Linked DNA regions of Astyanax mexicanus. The protein of the gene in region 1 binds, or shares a complex with, the protein of each later gene. Links are inferred from orthologs where the notes say so. Each region holds a gene or a part of one and is shown on either strand. Other genes may lie near its edges.

Evidence for each region.
Region 2: the proteins of atp6v1ab (region 1) and atp6v1d are in contact, whole or in part, in a cryo-EM structure (PDB 9B8P), measured with the Rattus norvegicus proteins. The link is inferred for Astyanax mexicanus from reciprocal best matches to the Homo sapiens genes ATP6V1A and ATP6V1D. Residues at the interface, in NP_001101788.1 of Rattus norvegicus: Ala366, Met368, Pro369, Ala370, Asp371, Ser372, Asp416, Ser418, Asp436, Lys438, Glu491, Gln494, Leu495, Val496; in NP_955418.1 of Rattus norvegicus: Lys4, Asp5, Arg6, Arg167, Ala171, Val175, Ile176, Arg179, Tyr186, Glu190, Arg194, Glu197, Tyr200, Arg201, Lys204, Ile205, Lys208.

The regions. Positions count from the first base shown.
Region 1 is NC_064408.1:95,982,790-95,993,104, reverse strand, and holds the start of atp6v1ab (V-type proton ATPase catalytic subunit A), read left to right. Parts: upstream 1-5,538; 5' UTR 5,539-5,665; intron 5,666-7,921; 5' UTR 7,922-7,936; coding exon 7,937-8,018; intron 8,019-8,527; coding exon 8,528-8,656; intron 8,657-8,861; coding exon 8,862-9,076; intron 9,077-9,972; coding exon 9,973-10,110; intron 10,111-10,214; coding exon 10,215-10,315. Other genes in the region: naa50 (N-alpha-acetyltransferase 50), read right to left, coding at 280-399, 777-913, 3,151-3,158. UniProt on the Homo sapiens protein: Catalytic subunit of the V1 complex of vacuolar(H+)-ATPase (V-ATPase), a multisubunit enzyme composed of a peripheral complex (V1) that hydrolyzes ATP and a membrane integral complex (V0) that translocates protons.
Region 2 is NC_064408.1:85,781,161-85,790,998, reverse strand, and holds the start of atp6v1d (V-type proton ATPase subunit D), read left to right. Parts: upstream 1-5,637; 5' UTR 5,638-5,809; coding exon 5,810-5,850; intron 5,851-7,948; coding exon 7,949-8,066; intron 8,067-8,206; coding exon 8,207-8,286; intron 8,287-8,380; coding exon 8,381-8,448; intron 8,449-8,631; coding exon 8,632-8,676; intron 8,677-8,778; coding exon 8,779-8,882; intron 8,883-9,838. Other genes in the region: eif2s1b (eukaryotic translation initiation factor 2 subunit 1b), read right to left, coding at 101-180, 275-515. UniProt on the Homo sapiens protein: Subunit of the V1 complex of vacuolar(H+)-ATPase (V-ATPase), a multisubunit enzyme composed of a peripheral complex (V1) that hydrolyzes ATP and a membrane integral complex (V0) that translocates protons.

The DNA.
Region 1 (10,315 bases):
ACCCCACTTCACCCACTCAGCCCAAAAGTGCTGTATGGAGCACCATCACTCCGGAGAACACAGTTTCTCAAAACGCTTTGGGGCTCCTCATGCCTACAGCCCATGTCTGGAATTAGGTATGGTGTCCTAGATTTGTGTTTATCTGCACCAAAACTCCTATTCTATTGGCAAGTTATGTTTGTTAAATCAATTATTTTAACATAATTTTAAATGGGTTGACATTTGACACAGATGCTATGGAATAGCTCTCAAACCATGCTTTCAACAAAATAGCCCTACCTATGCCCAGTCTGCGGTAGGGTGCTAGGCAGCCGAGTGTCATTATGTACAATCTCTTTTGGTTTTGGGAGTGATCCACCCTACAGCACACTGCCCCCACAGCAATGTCATTGAAGTATGCTGAAAAATAAAGAAACCAACATGAATAATGAAAATTACGATTATTAACTGTGCTCAGAAAATGTTCTAATTAAAATGTTTTAATACAGTAAACAACTGCATAAATCACAATAAAGAAAGAATTAGAACATTTATAATGTGCAAATACTTAAGTGCATTGTATCAAGTTGTTGATGGGATATTAGCCGTTTACACAAAGTTTTTTTTATATTACCTTGTTTTAGTTCTAGCAGTAGTTACAATATAAATAGTTTTCTGCACAATCCATCTTTGCTTTTCTTTCGCAATCTCTCTCTCACACACACGTTCAAACAAGTGATGAGCAATAAGTCTGTGTTATAAGCCTGCATCTACACAGTGAGTTCTCTCAGTCTTACCTAGCTTAGCAAGCTCTCCTACTTCCAGCACATCTTTGTAGAACTTGTCGTTGTAGCTGACAGGGAAGATTACTTGGTTCAGACGTTTCAGCTGTTTAATGTTGTGGGGGGTAACGTCCCCCAGCTCGATCCGGCTACTGGAACAAGAGCAGAACGGTCAACTGGTTGTTCATTACTTATTAGAATACATTTCGCTACACACTTTAAATAAGCAGTATGCCACTGTGCACAACCGCAAGACTTCATTTCAAGTTATTCTGAGCCCTCTCACAGACTCAGGCTTATTTCAATGGAATCAAACTAACCCAATTAGCTGTCTACGAGGATTTGACCCCACTGTCCCAGCACACTGTCACGACTATCAGTCGTAGTGTTCACCACAAGTTTGCGTCGCCTGCACTTGACACCAGAACTACAGAGGTATTTATAGGGCGACTGCATGCTAATGCACCATGACGACATAACAGCTGCATGTCATGTTTTTAGGCCTGCACTCCCACAGCCAGTGGTAGGAAAAGGTAAGAGAGGACAGCAAAAAGTTCACAATTTTTTTTAAGCATGTTGTATGCAAACAGCTTAACTTCTCAATTTGGTGTTTTTGTGTCAAAAAAACTAAATACACATGCATATACTGTACACACATACTTCCTCTCTTCTGGCAGCAGCATGGACTGTTTTTTAAATGAAGCACAACCAGTTAAATCACAGGTTATATGCATATAAGTCTTAAAGGCAGAATAACAAAACAGTGTTTATTTCTTAAGAGGCAAGCTATAAAAAGTATCCATTGTTTTGGCAAACCAACTTGCAAAAAACATTATAATGCATACTATGTATTTTGTATGTATTTTTTGCAATATCGCCCAGACTTATTTGCATGTCACCTCTTACAGTGCCAAAAGTGCCATTGTATTTTGCATGTATTTAAATCCTCCTCTTTTAGTCTTATAGACTAAGACATTAATATAAAATATGTAATTTTAACACTACACAAAAATGTGACACTAATTTTAACACAAAAAAAAGGAATTAGCTTAACTCAACTCGGGTTCTGTTTATACTTGTACTGTCATTCCCTCTTTAATCACACCCCCCTCACTATTGCACTATTGTCTTGTGTCTTTTGTCTCACGTATGTCTATCTGTGTCCTTGTTGTATTGTACATATAGTGTCTCCCATTCTTTAATATTTATAATCTTATTTTCTGTACTTTCTTGTAATCTTTTTGGGAAGGAGAGTAATGTAATTTCCTGTACACACGCAGTATTGACAATAAAACTACTTGACTTGAACTCAACTTGTATACATACATAATATTTCACTAGCTCAGCACAAAGTGACTAAAGGGACACTGACTGACAGAAAGAGCATCAGCACCAGATAGACATGGATTGAGCAGTGAAAGGGACATTCTGTGGGAACTGAGGTGACGTTAAATGCTGAATAAATAAAAAAAAAATACTGAGGTATCAGGCTTAAGAGTTCACAGGTGACACTAATCAGTAGGTAAACTAACTACATCACTAGACTGGACTCTGGTTCTGGAAGTAACGTAGCTAGCTTAGCTAGCTATGATAGCTAAACAACGTTTACCTGTGTATTTAACTTTGTCGACTGATTGTTGACTTAAAAAATCACTCCCGTCACTGTCTGTCATGTACTAGTGAACTGAATAACTAATATAACCTACAGCAATGCTCGTTAGCTTAGTTAGCTAGTTAACTAACTTGCTGCAAGCAGGTGGGGAATTTAGCTAGCCAACATATCTAGCTAAGCTAAGCTACGTTACCTAGCTACCACCTTTATTCACAAACTGTTTAGAACACAAATGGTTTATCTCAATGCTTGCTAGTTAACTAAACGTTCGGTTAGTGAAATATAAATACACATAATACTTATAAAGTTGGCTAGCTGAAGTAGTTGGTTACTTTGTCAGCTAAGAATGGGCAGACACATTTATTAGCTACTGTGGAGCAGGCATGGTTAGCTAGCGAATTAGCTAGCTATCTAGCTTAGCTTAGCTTAGCATGATAGCCAGCGATATAGCTTTTCATAGTCTGACTCAACATTTTCAGACTTCAGCTCAGGCTAAGCTAATAGACATCACACGGGGTTTTGCGGCGGTTTGGTGTATCTGCTGGGACCGTGGTTCGTGTAACAGCGGGTGGACTTTATTTGTACAGAGCACGTTTCAGTCTGTAAGGTTTTCTCAGTAAAATATTCAGGGTCCTCGGTGGTGAACGCTCCCCTCTCACCCCGCGCCGAGAGGCGGCTAGCGCGGCCAGCAGCTCCCCCTCCCCCTGCTGAAAGAAGAGAGGAGGAGGAGGGAAAAAACTTTTAGTCTCCATGAACAAACGCAGAGTTTTTACTCACCCTTTCATGTTGGAGAGAACACGTATAAGGTGAACGCTGCGAAGGACGTCGACAGTATATTTCCGATCCGGAGAAGATTAGTCCTAAGTTTGTGCAGAGCTACCCTCTCTCCGGACCCTCCACATGTATGTTGGCTAAAGGACTAGCAGCGCTCAACTCCGCCGCTGCTGTCACTCGTGAACGAGTCGCTTCTTCTGAGTCGGTTCTTTTGAGAAGATCAGTCGAATCGGTTCAAAAGTACCCCGCTGAATCTCGTGTTTGGCAGCTATTCGAGTTTTCTGCAACTGATGACTATTTTCGTTATTAACTGCTGTCCATACACTACACGACTGAAAAGACTCTGAAAAGACTTTTTAACAGAATGAAGTCTGACATCCTCTCACATTAATTGTTTAAAGATAAGTTTTCTGATTTGTCAGTCATTATTTCTGTTTCTATCTTTCTCTATGGCTTCAAATAGCTGAATGAGGGAAGACATTTAAAAATGGGAAATGTTCTGATATTCACTGAGAAAATAAACTAGTGTCATTCAGTTTAAAATGTGAAACTCATATTATATAGATGTAAAACACACAGTGTGCTCTATTTTACATCCAATAAAAACCCAAACATCATTGTCTCAGAAAATTAGAATATTATATTAGACCAAATGGTACTTTTGGCAGTGTAAAATCCACATCTCCATAAAAGTTGTCAGCAGGGCATGAAAACACTGCACCGACTTCAACACCAGCAGATGACATGACTCTCCAAACCATCACTGATTGTGGAAACGTTACACAAGACCTCAAGCAGCTTGACTGTGTGTCTCTCCACTCTTCCTCCAGACTCTAGTTCCTTGATTTCCAAATGAAATGCAAAATTTACTGAGGGTCAGTGATGGTTTGGAGGGACATGTCATCTGCTGGTGTTGGTCCACTGTGTTATATCAAGTCCAAAGTCAAAGGTAGTGTTTTCCCAGAAAATCTTACAGCACTTCATGCTTCCCTTTGCTGACAACATTTATGGAGATGCGGATTTCATTTTCTAGTAGGACTTGGCACACTGCCCACACTGCCAAAAGTACCAATTGGTCTTATATAATATTGTATTTTTCTGAGACAGTGATTTTTGGGTTTTCATTGGCTGTAAGCCATAATTATTGACAATAAAAAAATAAATGCATAAAATAGATCATTCTGTGTGTATTACATCTATATACGAATTTCACATTTTGAACTAAATTACTGAAATGGAGTAACTTTTCAATTACATTTAATTTTTTAGAGATGCACTATTATACTCGGTTGTGTCTGTCAATATCTTTTATTTCATGTCATAAGGAGTTTATTAAAAAATAGCCTGACACCGTTCTTTTTACTGAGCTGTTTTATGTTTTCTTCTGTTAAACGTACAAAAACATACATATCTTAACACACGTGACAAAACTTACTTTAAATAGTTTAGTTATCAAGAGAGACCAGATCTAACAGTAATAAAAGTTGGTATAACTTGGTTTCTGCTGTGTGGAGGACATTAGAATAAAGTTGGCATGACTCATAAATCAATGAATCGCTGACTCGGACGTTTGATGCATTGAAACAAAACGTTCAGCTCAAAGAACCGGTTCGATTCACTGAATCGAACTTCACATCCTGCACAAGCGGCGGGGAGACATAAAGCACAGGACGTGGCGTACATTATGGAAGCTTTCAGTATACAAAATAAAAGTCCCTGACAGGTAAGGTGAAATCAGAGCCATCTCTATGGCTCAGTGACACCTCTGGGTGAAATGCGGGTCGGATAGAAAAGTTAGTTCTTTTTTTTATATATTTAAAATAAGTTACTTAAAATACCTTAGCATAGGTTTCCGAAGAAAATACTTATAATAACGCTATCTAACAAATTCGATATTTAGCAACAATTAATTTAAGTGTGCAATGTTGTAAGTTACCTGATACCTATTTTACAAAATGTAAACGTTATTGAACTTAATCTTTTAAAATTAGTATAAACATTACAGTAAATTTGTATAGTTTTACATGCTTCTTTATTACTGCAAAAAATAAAAAATAAAATCCAGCTCAAGATCATCCAGAAAAAACATACCCTATGCTGGTAAAGAGCTAGTTAATTTTAAGAAAAATGAAACGGTTAATCTTCTTTTGATCTTTCAGATTTGTCATTTCTTGTATCTTGTAACACAAACCTGATAGTAAAGAAATTCCGATTGTGAGGGGCAAAGGTGAAAAAAATCTAAAAAGGGAAAAATGGATGAAGGCTTATTTCTGCACAACATTAAAAAAAGACAAATAATGAGTTTTACATACAATTATCCATTTTTGCATTTAGCCTCAAACACGTCGTTATACTGACCGTATAGCAGTAGGTGGCGCAGTGAAGCTCCATCTCTGAGCACCGCGCACTACAACCATCGAGTGAATGAAGTCAGCTGACCCTTCCTGGTTGCTGATTTCTCATCATTATTTTCAGCTGAACGGACTCGACAGATCGCTGCTTCTCCTCATCATTTCAGGTATTTAGTGATTGTAGTTTGATGTCAGGGTTATTTTATTCCTCGCTGTGTTTTGATTCGGTCGGTTTAAGGCGGCCTCGGCTGCAGGTAGCCAGCCTGCTACGTTCAGTGCTTTTTCTCGGTCGTATTCCATTGACGTTAACTGCGGTCAAAATGCTTTAAATGAACTATGGTAGCTTTTGCGGGAATTGGCTTAATTTCTCTATTTACAGATTTAACACGGAATGGTAGTTGGTTAAAATGGCTGAAATTTGTGTGTGACTGAAATTAGCTGCTTAATCGCCTGGTTCTTGTTGGAAATTTCCGTTCCACCTTAAATAGGGCATTAGATAAGTACACGATCCTGAAGCATGTTGATGGAACCAATGCAGTATTTAAGGTGGAACGGCGGTGGTCGAATATGAAACTGGCGATTTTTTTGCACCTCCCCCATTATAACCTTGGGAAACTACAAGCTCGCCCCAGGATTGTATACATACACGATGCAGTCTCTGATTAATATTAATTAATTTATCATTTTTATTATACACATATGTAGTAGGTAATGCGCTTAACGTTACACTACGTTTAAGTCATCTCGTTAAATGTAAAGCAGGAGGAAATTCCATCACACCAGTTTTACATGTTATTAATTATTGTAACATATTTAAAATTGACATGTTTAAAAAGTATCTATATTGCGCTGTATTGATGTCATTTATTTGTAAGATAGAATCGCAGTAAATGTTATCAGTAGCCTGTCATGGTCATGTGACTGGACAGTGCTGAGACTTGCAGTCACTGTGCTTGGGCCCAAATACTAGACTGCAGCATTCTGCCAGCTATAGCACTGCTCAAATATGCTGTTTCTTTATGTTTTGACTGGCAAAGCTTATAACGAGGTAACCAATACACACACGATCAGGTTTCTGTCTGGAGATCATGTTGCTTTACCAGGAGAGAATCCGTCCATACCCTACATCATGTGTTGGTTGATCACATGGTAGGATGGTGGGTGGTAATGCCAGAAATATTAAGATACTTTAAGAAATGCATGATGATATTTAACTTTCTGTGTTTTTTTTTTCTGAACAAGTACCACAAAGCAGTAACAGCACATTAAAAAAAGCTGAAAACAAGCCATTGGTTAAAAATATATTGAATTAAATGAGTGTCATAATTGGATGTCAAATCAGCAGTTTTTGCAGTTGTTACCATTTGTTTGTTGTTCTTTAAAGGCTTGATCTTAATCTGTCTTTTTACGATTAATTTATTCATTTAGACGTACATATCACACTCCAAATATAGCTTAGCAAAATCTGTCATGGTCTAATTTATCATGTTGCACTTAACATATATCACCCATTCTTAATGACAAATTAGCCTGATTTTTGTTGGCTTGATTAAATTTAAAAGCGCATATATTGAAAAAAATGAGACATCTTACATTAGAATTTGTTGCATGAGAGGGTCTTTTAGTTTTTTTGTAACGATTTGCACATGTAGTTTTAGTGGTTGTTTTTTCATATATTGTATTTTATATGAAACATTAGAAAACTACTGAGAACTAAAACTGCTTGGTTTGGTTGTTTCCCTACAGCTATTAATGCTAATCTTGGGGATGAGTGCAAACTCTCCAGAATTACTCAACTGTCTGTTTAGCCCCTTCCTCTTTACAGCCAGTCACGGTAATCATCATGTGACATTTCTGTATCACTGCCCCAGAAATATCACACAATCTGGTGCATATATAACTGTTCATATAAACTAAGAGGATTTTTGTATTAATAAACTTTACTTAAATATTGAACAAGCCTTAAGGTGTGTGTGCATGAATAAATGAATAAATATATAAAATAAACTCTCATTATCAAGTTTAATTACTATATTCAATAGTTTGTGCTTTTTAGTACAAATTATGCTCTGACATCTTTGATTATTGATCATTAATAATTAGGTAGGTCTACTTCTGTGATGAAAGAATTTAGTGTAAAGTTAGACTTTCTGTAACTGTCCATCCAGCTTTAAAAGTCACAAGTTAACCCACAATAGGAGAAATCAAACAAATGGAGAACAGAAACCCTCTAATGCTTCACAGGAATATTTTTGTTTCTTTTTGCATAAAGCTTGAGGACATTCTCAGTTTAAAAGCTGACAATTAAAAGCTTTAATTTTTGCTTATGCTATAATCTGATGTAATCTAATACCTCTATAATTGTCAGTAATCTGTTGTATTTCACTAATGGTGCCCACCTTCACATTCTGTCTGCATTTTAGACACACACTTCTAAGATGGACTTCTCCAAGCTGCCCAAGATTCGAGATGAGGAGCGGGAGGGACAGTTTGGATATGTGCACGGAGTGTCCGGACCTGGTCAGTAATCTGTCTATAGTGTGGAATGACAGTAATGTTTTTTTCTTTTTTTTTTCCAATTTACTCAATGCTTTATTTGTCAGTCAGATTGATTAAGTGTGCGCTGCTGTCGCAAAAATATGGATTGATGTGTCCTGTATGTGTTATGCAAAAATGTAATAGCAATATTTTTGGCCCTTTTAGTTTAATTTTTAGCCGGGCCATATTTAATCACTGTATTTCTGAATAACACATTTTAACATTCTAATCATTTTCAGTACTATTTATCTTACTTTTAGTGTCAGCTAAATGACTAAGTAAGATCTTTTCTTTATTTATTTTGTTACATTTCTGGTAATTAAATTAGAATTATATCTATGTATAACCAGTATGGTTTTAAATTATTGACATAATTGTTCCTGAATTTTGCAGTTTGTGCATTTTAAAGTTGTTGTACTGCTTTGCTCTATAGGTCATAGTACATGATTTGCTACATGTAAGTGACCTGTATCTGTGTGTGTCCCTCACAGTGGTGACGGCCTCCAGCATGGCTGGGGCAGCTATGTACGAGCTGGTGCGTGTGGGCCACAGTGAGCTGGTGGGAGAGATCATCCGTTTAGAGGGTGACATGGCCACTATTCAGGTGTATGAGGAAACCTGTATCCTTTTATACCCATTCAGCACCTACTGCACTTATAACCTTATAGTAAACTGTATTGTATAGTATAGTGTGCTCTATTACATATGTATTCTAGCTTAGAAAGTTGAAGATTATCACTGAAGATTTGAGTCACTATAATAGATCATTTACACATTCTAGCTGTAATACTTTAAACTGTGTTAGATTTCCTAAGCCTTTTCCAGCTGGTGTGTCTGTTGGAGACCCTGTCCTGCGTACAGGGAAGCCCCTCTCTGTCGAGCTGGGACCAGGAATTATGGGCTCCATATTTGATGGTATCCAGCGTCCCCTGAAGGACATCAATGACCTGACCAAGAGCATCTACATCCCCCGTGGAGTGAACATTGGTGCTCTGAACCGCGACCTCAAATGGGATTTTTCTCCATCCAAGAGTTTACGAGTATGTGCCTGAATGTAGATTGTGAGAATGACTTTAACTGCAAGGATCTTGGGAAGAACATGAAGTAAATAGTGTGTTAATTGACATAATCAGGACATTTTTGAGATATATAGCACCTCATTAACCTGCCATGATCATAAATTCCTAATTTCTGTTTAGCAGTCTGAACATTCACCACAAGAGTGCGCTGTTTGTTCTCAAATAACTTTCGGTGCTTAGCGTCACTGTCCCCTTGTTTGTCAAATAATCCAGCCGTTATATCTATCCAGTTGATGTCTCGTGCCATAAATGGGATCAGTATGTAAAAAAAGATTAGTTTCTTATTGCAGCCGGTAGATATGACCTTCATTTTTTTTAAAGGCTTGAACAGCAAAACAATAATAAAATTAAAAATGTCTAATTACAAAGTAGTAAGGCTTTAAGATTTTTTTGTTGGTTCTCCTGCCTTCAGTAATTGAAAGGATTAACTTGTATTACTCAATTCACTGTTTTAACTTATGACTAAGAAGCATGTGAATAAAAATATCAACAGTAAGAAAAACATAGGCAGACATTACTGGAAGTATGTTTTTAAGCACTGCTTAAACTCAAAGTACTCAAACTTTTTCCCACAGGTAGAAACAAACAGCTAACATCACATTAAAGATTAAACAGGCCTAGTGTGCTCACTTTGTAATAGAATTGGATTATTCTTTTATCGATATTGTATTTATTGGTAGTATTTATAGTATATCTATTTATATCATATTCCACAAGGAAAGATTTAAGACAGTTTTCCTACTGACACATTTCTCATAGGGCTACCTCATAATATTATTATTTTAAATATATTTTCTATTGATTTAGTTAATAGTTAAATATTTTCTTTAAATGCACTCTTTTGTCTTCTTCCTCAGATTGGAAGTCACATAACTGGAGGTGATATCTATGGCATGGTTTTTGAGAACTCTCTGATTAGGCACAAAATCATGCTGCCACCCAGAAGCCGTGGAACAGTGACTTATGTGGCCCCACCTGGCAACTACGACGTCTCGGTGAGCTGTGGAGAGAGCTGATTTTAAGCCACGGTGCATTAATAATAGTTCAGAATTAATGAGAACTGTATTTGTCTGCGTGTCCGTGTGTCTATGTGTGTTAGGATGTGGTGTTAGAGCTGGAGTTCGAGGGCGTGAAGGAGAAGTTTACAATGGTGCAGGTGTGGCCTGTACGTCAGGTGCGACCTGTCACTGAAAAGCTGCC
Region 2 (9,838 bases), about 10 Mb from region 1:
TTCTATACAGAACAGCATTTTTTTCTGAGCTTAATTCATCAATCAGAAGTAGTGTATGAAATATTTAAACATTAATGTAGCTGGAGAGTAAATTACTTACAGTCTTGGATTTGGTAAACTTATCTTCACACTTGACTGCCTCCTCTGGAGACACTCTTCTCTTTGATAAGTCAATATATCCTAGACAGAGAGAATAAAACCCATCAAAAACAGAATTCTAAAAAGATACTATACTGAAGCTTCACTCTTTAAACCTCTTTACGAGCAAACCCACCTTTCTCTTTGTCCACTCGGATCACCACAACACATTCATTGCGGCCGATGCGGATCAGTTTGTTGATGGAGCGAATACGTCTGCGCGAGAGCTCACTCAGCAGGATCATGCCCTCTATATTGTTATACTCCAGCAAGCTGACGTAGGCACCCATCTCCGCAATGGAGCGCACATTTACCATCACTACATCCTCCACCTCCGGAAACCGGTGCTGGTAGAACCTACAGCTGAGTCCTGGCATTTCTGGGAGAAAAGAATTTAAAGCATATTACAATCTGAAAAACATCAAATGTCAGCGTACGGAATTTTTTGTTTCCATATTTTAGAGCAGGGATGGGCAACTGGCGGCCCGGGGGCCGCACACGGCCCTCGTCATCACTCAGTGCGGCCCGCGAATAGATCAAAAATAATTTCATAATTTCATAATTTAAAAAAAAAAACAAAAAAAAAACGTAATTCTACTTTTGACCGCTAGAGGGCGCTGCCAAACAACCACGAAAATTGACATTGACATCCAGTCCATTGTGAGCCAGCAGGCCAAACCACAGCTCTCTCATTAGCTTCAATAAATGTTGGGCCTCTGTGGTCTAGTTTTCTGCTATTATTGAATGAGCTATTTGCAATCAGTTTTTAAATCTTTTTTGTTCTTTGTTATAAATGAGTTCAAATGCCTTTTGCACATTTATAAGCAAATGTTTTGTCCTTGTTGCTTATGAAGGACTTGTTATAATGAACTTATTTTACACAGAGGAACTACTGTATTTGCAATCGGTTTTTTAAGCAAACTTCTTTTTTGCACTTTTTTTAAGCAAACGGTTTGTCTTTTGCCGTATTAAAATGCATTAATATGCAGAAAATAGTTGTTGATAAATGTTGGTGCTGTAAACATACAGATATAAGTTCATATAAAATTTGTTCTTATTGAAAATCATTTGTAGTGTTTTTCATATTCAATTATTTGAAGTGCGAGGTCATGTGGCCCTCCAATGGTCATGCTGAAAAAAATGTGGCCCTCTCCATCATGGAAGTTGCCCATCCCTGTTTTAGAGCATGAACAACATATTCACTGGCCAATAACATACCTCATTGCTACAATAGTAATATGAGTGCTGGACAATACAACTTTAATAACCATCTTAATAACTCTAAATATCAGTTTTATATGATATTTAAAGACTTTTTTTAATGATGCACTGTATTTATCCCAATGTTTTGACACAGACAAAATTTATCCGCAGTGGTAGATTCTGAAAAAAATCTATTCAAATACTCTTTCATGCACAGTACAGTGATATTTATTCAGTTTTCCTGCACATCATCCAAATAACATTTTTTACAATGCTTGCAATGAAACAGTTAAATGTGTGTTTTTAAGGCACCAACAGCATCCTTTATTATGCTTATTAAAGCATACATGATGAGTGAATGTATCACAATACAATAAAATCAATAATATAAGTTAATCATTATTCACATACACTTTCAATGTCATTATGAACACTGACATTGAAGTTGAATAATTATGCTAATTGCCCCATGGTTAGCAATGGCTTAGTAATACTAATTGTTACACTGATCTGTTGATCAGGAATGATGTGGGATTTTACATGATTTTGACACTGAAATTACTACTGGGTTTGGAACCCAAGCCCATTTGAGTTTTAAGATTTTAAAATCATTTCTTACTTAATTCACAAGTTACCAGGATTACTACTAAAAAAACACGGCTTTACGTCCCAGGCAAATCTTCAGATGTTTATCCTGTGAAACTGGGTTTACGAGTCTGATAACCCAAATAAGCCCATAGTGATGTGTGTGTCACAGACCATTTAAAAGATGAGTTAAGTCCCTTACAGTACTTTCTCAATCATTTTATCTCATGAAGAACCTCTGGCATATACTGATCATTCTGAAAGCATCACAGGACAGTGTGTGGAAGTGTGTTTGTTTATCTGGACTTATTTACAGAACGCAGAAGTGCTGCTGCTGGAGATAAACCTCTCTTATTTAAAATGTGTGTTTTTGCTTTTACAGCTCCACTTTAACCATACAAGTAATGAAATTGTTGTTGTGTCATTTAAGTTACATCATGGTTTTAATCTTAAAATATTTACAGTCATGCACCCACAGTAATAATAATAAAAAAAGAAAACTAAACAAGAATGAGCTTCTTACTGAATTTATCTGATTGGTATCAATATTCAGAAATGGGTCTGGGTTCTATAATGGGTTAATCATAAATGAATTGGAGAAATGGGCTGGAAATTACTGACTAATAATGTAGTGTGAACTTTAATGAATAATTGTCTCACTAGTGCTAATTACACTGACTAGTAGATCAGGAATGATGTGGAAAAACATGATTTTGACGTTGGAATTGGTACTGCATTTTGAGTTTCAAGACCTGAAAATACTTTCTCACTTAATTCACAAGCTAGCAGGATAAATACCTACAACCTGGCGTTAGTATCCAGGCAAATCCTCAGATGATAATCCTGTGAAACTGGGTTTAATGGTCTAATAATAAGATATTACAATCAATAGAGCCTAGTTAACTAAATAACCCTCATACAGGGTGGAGCTGCTGTTCAGTATTAAACCAGAGTTAAACTACAGAACCGGTTCAGTCGAGTCTAGTTAGATGGGTTAGTTAGTCCAGCTGTACTGTATTCTGTCTCTGAAGCTGGTGATATGTATAGGTATCTAATGATACCCATAGATCTGTTATTGTATCAGTGGCTGAGCTGAGCTGCACCACTCAGTCTCATTGAGCCCATGCGGTTCAGCAGATAGCTCGGCTAGATAACACATTTCTGCTTCTAGATAAATAAATACTGAATAAAACCGGCCCGCCGCGAGTTCCAGAGAGTGGTGTTACCTGAAGCGAGTCGTCCCCGGGAGCGCGGTTAGTCTAGAGTCTGTTTCTGGGCGGTAATTGTAAATTTTGATGAGAAAAGGCTCCGTAAATCAGGAGTTCGCCATGGATCCACAGCACAGAGAGAGAGTTACATCATGGCGCCGCGCGAAGTAACTTCAACATAAAAGTCCTTAATAAAAGTTTTCATTTTTTAAATATTTGTGTTTTTATATTAATAAATAAAAATAAACAGTTACATACAAACACTAATAAAATAATAATAAAAATAATCACAATTTGAAATATTACATCAAATATCAGATTACAGGATCCTCATGTGGTTTATACACCACATCCTTACTAGTTACAGCATGGACAACATATCCACTGGCCAATTTCACACCTAATTGCTATAAAAGTAATACAAATTAAATGCTGGACAAAACGTCCATATCTCTATCACAACAAATCTTAATATCACTTTATATAAAATTCTGAACAGTATGAATGCCACTGCCTGAAGTATATAGAATCACACAGTTATAGGTGTAAAATATTATATGATATTTTTATTATACACTGTATTTATCGCAATGTTTTGACACACAGACAAAATGCATCAGCAGAGGTCGATTCTTAAAATCATCTATTCCAATACTCTTTCATGCAGAGGACAGTGATTTTTATTTAGTTTTTTTTTCCTGCACATCATGCAAATAAACAATATTTTTACAATGTTAATAATGAAACACAATTAAATTGGTGTTTTTAAGGTACCAGCGGTAATAAAATAACCTGAAGGAAAAAAAATATATATTTTTACGAGGAACGCTACAAATTTGACAAATAAATGCAACGTGACCCAGCTAGCTAGCTAGGTTTTACAGTAAATGTATAATCATTAGTTCTATTAACAGTCAGTATAAATAAAATCAATTAAGAAATTTCTATTAAAAAACACCGCGTTTGTCGGGCCACCAGAGGGCGCTCCAGAGCGAGTTCAAAATGAATGGGCTTATATGGAGCAATTTAACAGTTAACGTTATAGTTTATAAATGTTTAATCACCGTTATACTGAAAACTGAAACAATATCTAACATTTTTCAAACGAAGACAAGGATATCAAATACTTAAAACTGTAGATATAAACCTTTTAAAACTGTCTCTGACTCTGACTGTAACTCCAGCATCAGCCCACCAACCAGTCAGAAGACAGTAACAGTAATGCTAGCGCATTAACTGCCTAAAACCAGTGTACTGTAGATAAATGGACAGGTATACATATAGCAAAATGCATCTTTATACTTTCATAAATTAAAAGAATACCCTGCATTAGTTACTTTTTTGTTTTATTTATAGATTTTCTTTGAAAGACAAAATTAGAAGAAACAAGTCATTTTAATCCTACTGTTTCCAAAGTAAACTTAATTTTTTATCCTTTTTCAACTCTGGATCTAATAAAACATATATTGGTCAATCTCAGGCAGCTTTATTTGATTTTCTACAAGGAAGATACATTTAATAAGTATGTTTAAAAGAAGCAAGTGCACTAATTACTTTGATTTTAATTAAATGGTTGACTGCATGTTTAAAGTTTAAACAATAGGCCCTTTTAATCCTGCCCCCTAAAGCAATATATACGTAGATCCATATCACTAAAACTTTCTCTGTTTTGCATGCCCTTAATGAATATGCCAAGGAGGGCAGCGCCTTTCTCTCTTTCTCCCTCTCTTTTACACACCTGATTGGGGAAAAAAACTGTGTTGCCTGCGTGCACGTTTGTGTTCACGCCGTTATTGATATGCGGTAGACTCCCGCCACTTTCAGAAGACTTGGGAAGTCTGTACACAAAACATAGCATAAAGATGTATATAAAATGCTCATATACATAAACATATATAATATGCATCACCTGTATCTATGAATAACACAGTCACATGCATATGTATCCATGCATAATTATATCTTCACAAAATAATAACACAAAAAAATGTCATGAAGAAATGTGACCTACACACATGATAAGTGAACACTTTATATGTTTTGTATTGTTTATAACCGGTGACTGTACCAAATTGTTAATAGCCTAGACAAATTAAACATCACTATAAGTTGTTTTTCATTCATATTATTTACTATTTTTAATTGAAGGTTTTAGCAATTTAGCTCAATTCACTTCTATTCATTTTGGACTCACTCGCGGGCTCCCTCTAGCGGTGGTTACAGTGGTTCACTGACAAATAACAGAGGCGATATACAGGAAGTGTGCAGTTCCTCCATAAGCCGCCTCTGCCCTTACAGCTATCGGTTACACACACTTCAAAATAAAAGTTTAGGTAAAACTGTACTGTTTTAAATATATATTATATATATATTATGAATCGATCAATCTGTGTTAATAAGAAAGCTTACTGCTACATTAAATCGTAAAATAAACCCAAGCTATGTTTTAATAATGATAATGATCATAGGTTGTGTTTAGTGTTTTGCTGAAGGCCGCTGGTCGTGAGTCACATGACCCGCTGTGAGCTGTAATGTGATTTTCAGTGAAACAGTGAAGCCGAGCGCCGCGTTCCTGCGAATAAAACCTACATGCGAACAGAACAGGCCACAGGTCGAGCAGAAAACCCCGCTTTATAAACACACAGACCCGCCGGGATCAGGAGGAAAACGACGAGATGTCGGGCAAAGACCGGATCGACATTTTCCCTTCGAGGATGTGAGTAAAGCGAGAGAGAGCTGTGCTGTGCTGTTAGAGATACAGACTACAGGACACGAATTAATCAACATAACATAACCTTTAATTTACTGTTTAGACTCCAATATACTCTAATATCTAATAATTAAACTATAATAACTGTGCTGAATGTTATTAATGCTGGGGTTGATCTAAATATAAAACTGACCATTGATTAACGTTACACACACATTATTATTATTTTTGTATTATTTTACTACACTGTAGCAGTCAACTAGCCATATAAATAGAATAAAGGACCAGTCTGCAGTGTGTTTATTCTACAGTGGTATTCTAAGGACCACCAGCAAGGTCATTATAAGACTCTCTGAGGGTAATTGTGCAAATAAAAAATATTTTTGTGCAGATTAAATACGTGTATACAGTCCCTCTAAAGGGTGTGTTAAAATATTGTATTTTCAGAATTTAGACTATAAGAACAGTGTTTGAAATAACTCCCCACAGAAAAACAGAAGTGTATTATTCAGGATCATGTGATGTGAGGCTCTGGCCATAGAGGAACATCCACAGGGGGGAAAGGGTTTGAAGCTGAAGAGCTTAAAGGGTAGTTGTAGTTGTCATTATTGTGATAACCAATATTATTGTCATTTTAAAACCATTTAAATGACACTGACATAATGATACTAGAATAGCATAACGAAGCATTCATATTCTTTTGAAGACAATACAATTGTAAGTAGTCATAGTTTGGGGTAAAAAAAAAAAAAAAGGTCACACACACTAATATTTTGTTGGACCGCCTTTAGCTTTGATTGCGGCACACGTTCACTGTGGCATTTTTGCATTAATCTTCTGCAATGTCACAAGATTTATTTCCATCCAGTGTTGCATTAATTTTTCTTCAAGATCTTTTATTGATGTATTGATGATGGTATCGTCTGACCGCTGCTCAAAGTCTTCTCCAGCACATCCCAAAGATTCTCAATGAGGTTCAGATCTGGACTCTGGAATCCATGTGTAAAAATAATGAGCTCATGATTCCTGAATCACACTTTCACAATTCCAGAACAGTGAATCCTGACATTGTCATCTTGGAATATGGCCGTGTCATCAGGGAAGAAAAAAACGATTGATGGAATAAGCTGGTCTATATTCAGTATATTCAGGTAGTCAGCTGACCTCGTTCTTTCAGCACAAACTGTTGCTAAACCTAAACCTGACCAACTGCAGCATCAACCCCACATCATTTTTTTTGGCCTGGCAGTGTATTTACTTTTTTAGTTACCTAACACAGTCCACAGTGTGTATGTGGTGTCACTGTTTTTGAAGCATTGGTCATTGAAGCATGGAAACTGGCAAATATACTGTTTACTGTGAACAAACATACAAATAAGCACAATATACAATATCACTATTATAAAATATTATTGAGGTCATGTCCATTTACTGTAAGATAAGTTAATAATGTAATTATTGTGACAAGTCTAGTCAGTAGGGTTGTAGTGGACCTGATACTACAAGTCCAGTACCATGTGCAGAACATTCTCATTAATATTAGTTTTTTTTTATTTGTATTTACTACATTGTAGCTTAAATGTCAATTTATATATAAAATAAACAGGGTGAAAAAGAGTTTGTTTTGGTTTAAAATTGTTTATTGTAGAGAAGTGCATTGATGCTGATTTCGTGGTGGTGTTAGGAACTGGGGGGTAACCATGTGAATACAGAAAATATAGTCCTTTTATTTACTGTCTGCAACCACCAGTGATTCTGTGCACGTCCTCTTAGCTGTATATGTAATGTTAAAGATGGAAATGGAGTATTTTGTAGGGATTAATTTGAGATCACCAAGTGTATATTTACTGCAACACAGTCCAATAAACTCTTTAACTGTTGATAAACAGTGTCTAGACATCAAATGACGAATTCATAATAATTTCTGAGGGGGAGCTTTTAAACACATAAAACTCTTTAAGCATTTTGTTCCATTCACCACCACTGTGAACAAGTCTGACTAAGCAAGTTCCTCTTAAACTCATGAACACAAAAGCAAATGACTGTTGTTGCACACTGTATTTTTAATTGTATAATTAATGACTGTTTGTGTCGATGGTTTTAGGGCTCAGACCATTATGAAGGCTCGACTGAAAGGAGCTCAGACAGGGAGGAACCTGCTGAAGAAAAAAGCTGACGCCCTTTCCATGCGTTTCCGGCAGATTCTCAGGAAGATCATTGAGGTAGAAACATGAGAAAATAAATATTTTAAATGCTTATATTAATGAGTATGTCATGCTGTAAACATGTAATAATGTGAGAAAAAATGTAAATAGCTGTAAATATTTTTTCATTGCTTACCCTGTTTCCCTTTGTTTCTTAGACCAAGACGCTGATGGGAGAAGTGATGAGAGAAGCTGCTTTTTCTTTAGCTGAAGCCAAATTTGCTGCTGGTGACTTTAGGTATGAGCAGCTTGCGCTTATATTTAATGTTAATGATAATGTGTTTGTGAAAGTAAGTTTGACTCCTGAGCTCATGGATGTGTGTTTGTCTCAGCACTACGGTTATCCAGAATGTGAACAAGGCCCAGGTCAAGGTTCGAGCCAAAAAGGACAATGTTGCAGGTCTGAATAAACTTCATTTAAATTTGCTTCACTGAGAAATTGCCAAGGAATTATTAAGTTCAAACCTCAACTAGTTTTAGTTTTGTTAACTTAAATGTTTTTCAGCAGATTTTAAAATGTTTGTATTATTTTTTTATGCATGAATAACGGCCCTAACTGTATTTTGCTTCATTTGCCCCCCAGGTGTGACTCTGCCTGTGTTTGAGCACTACCAGGAGGGAGGAGACAGTAAGTTTGGATAAAATTATATGGTCTCACACAAATTACAGTGCATACAATAATTGAACCACATCACAAACATCAAATGTTCACATTTCACACACTCTATAGGTTATGAACTGACTGGTCTGGCCAGAGGTGGAGAGCAGCTGTCCAGGCTGAAGAGAAACTACGCTAAAGCTGTAGAGCTGCTGGTGGAATTGGCCTCTCTGCAGGTAGGGGGTGCTGGAGTTATCTATTAAATATCATTAATACATGAAGCTGAAATGGAGAATTTCTGTTGAGGGTGACTGTCCATCAACATTGTGTCCCAGGTTGATTTAGTGTTTGGTTTATAGGTTTCTATGAAGGCTTTGTGTAAAAGTTTCACACTATGACTTTTTGTATACACATTATTTACCACAGAAAAATTTAACTCAACGCAGAATAGGATCAAATATTTAAACTCTTCATAATGTTGGTGAAAGGAGAACTCAGGCAGTAATGTTTTCAGTAATCAGCTCACAGTTGGTTTTACTGAATCTGGAAACTTTTAATCTCCTGCAATAAAAAAAAGATAAATTGAATAGGGTGTGTGGTCTGTGGTGTCATGTAAAAATTGTCACACTAAGCTGGGGCTTGTGTGACTGGTGTGTGTGAAAGAACAGCTGTTAAGAGGAATACATTTGATTAAAATAATTGTTTATTTAGTTGTAGGCAGTTTAATGCAATAAATGAAATTAAATATTACTTTATTATTAACTATATCATATCAGTAATAGACATTATGAATTAAGCAGCGCACAGTACTTGATAGCTCTTTGTTATGTCTATTTAAAAATACTTTTATTTAACATTTAGCAATATTATATAACTTGGCTGTATCTGAGTTGAACATTCCAAGTGGTAATTATGAGCTGGAGGGGTTGGGAAATTCCCAGTTCCATCTTGGTCATAAACAGCAGCATGCGTTTGGCTTTAGTAGCCTTTTGTTGGCTTTGAATATCATCCTCTGACAAGTCTCCATGTCTTCAGTGATCACTTTGACTGATTTATATATGACTGTACCATGGAGATTAAAAAAGGTATATGTAGTAACTTATTTTGTCTGTTGCTCAGAGTAAAACTGCTAGCAGGGGCAGCAGACATTACTATTGGACTTTTCCCCCAATATTTATTTATTTATTTATTT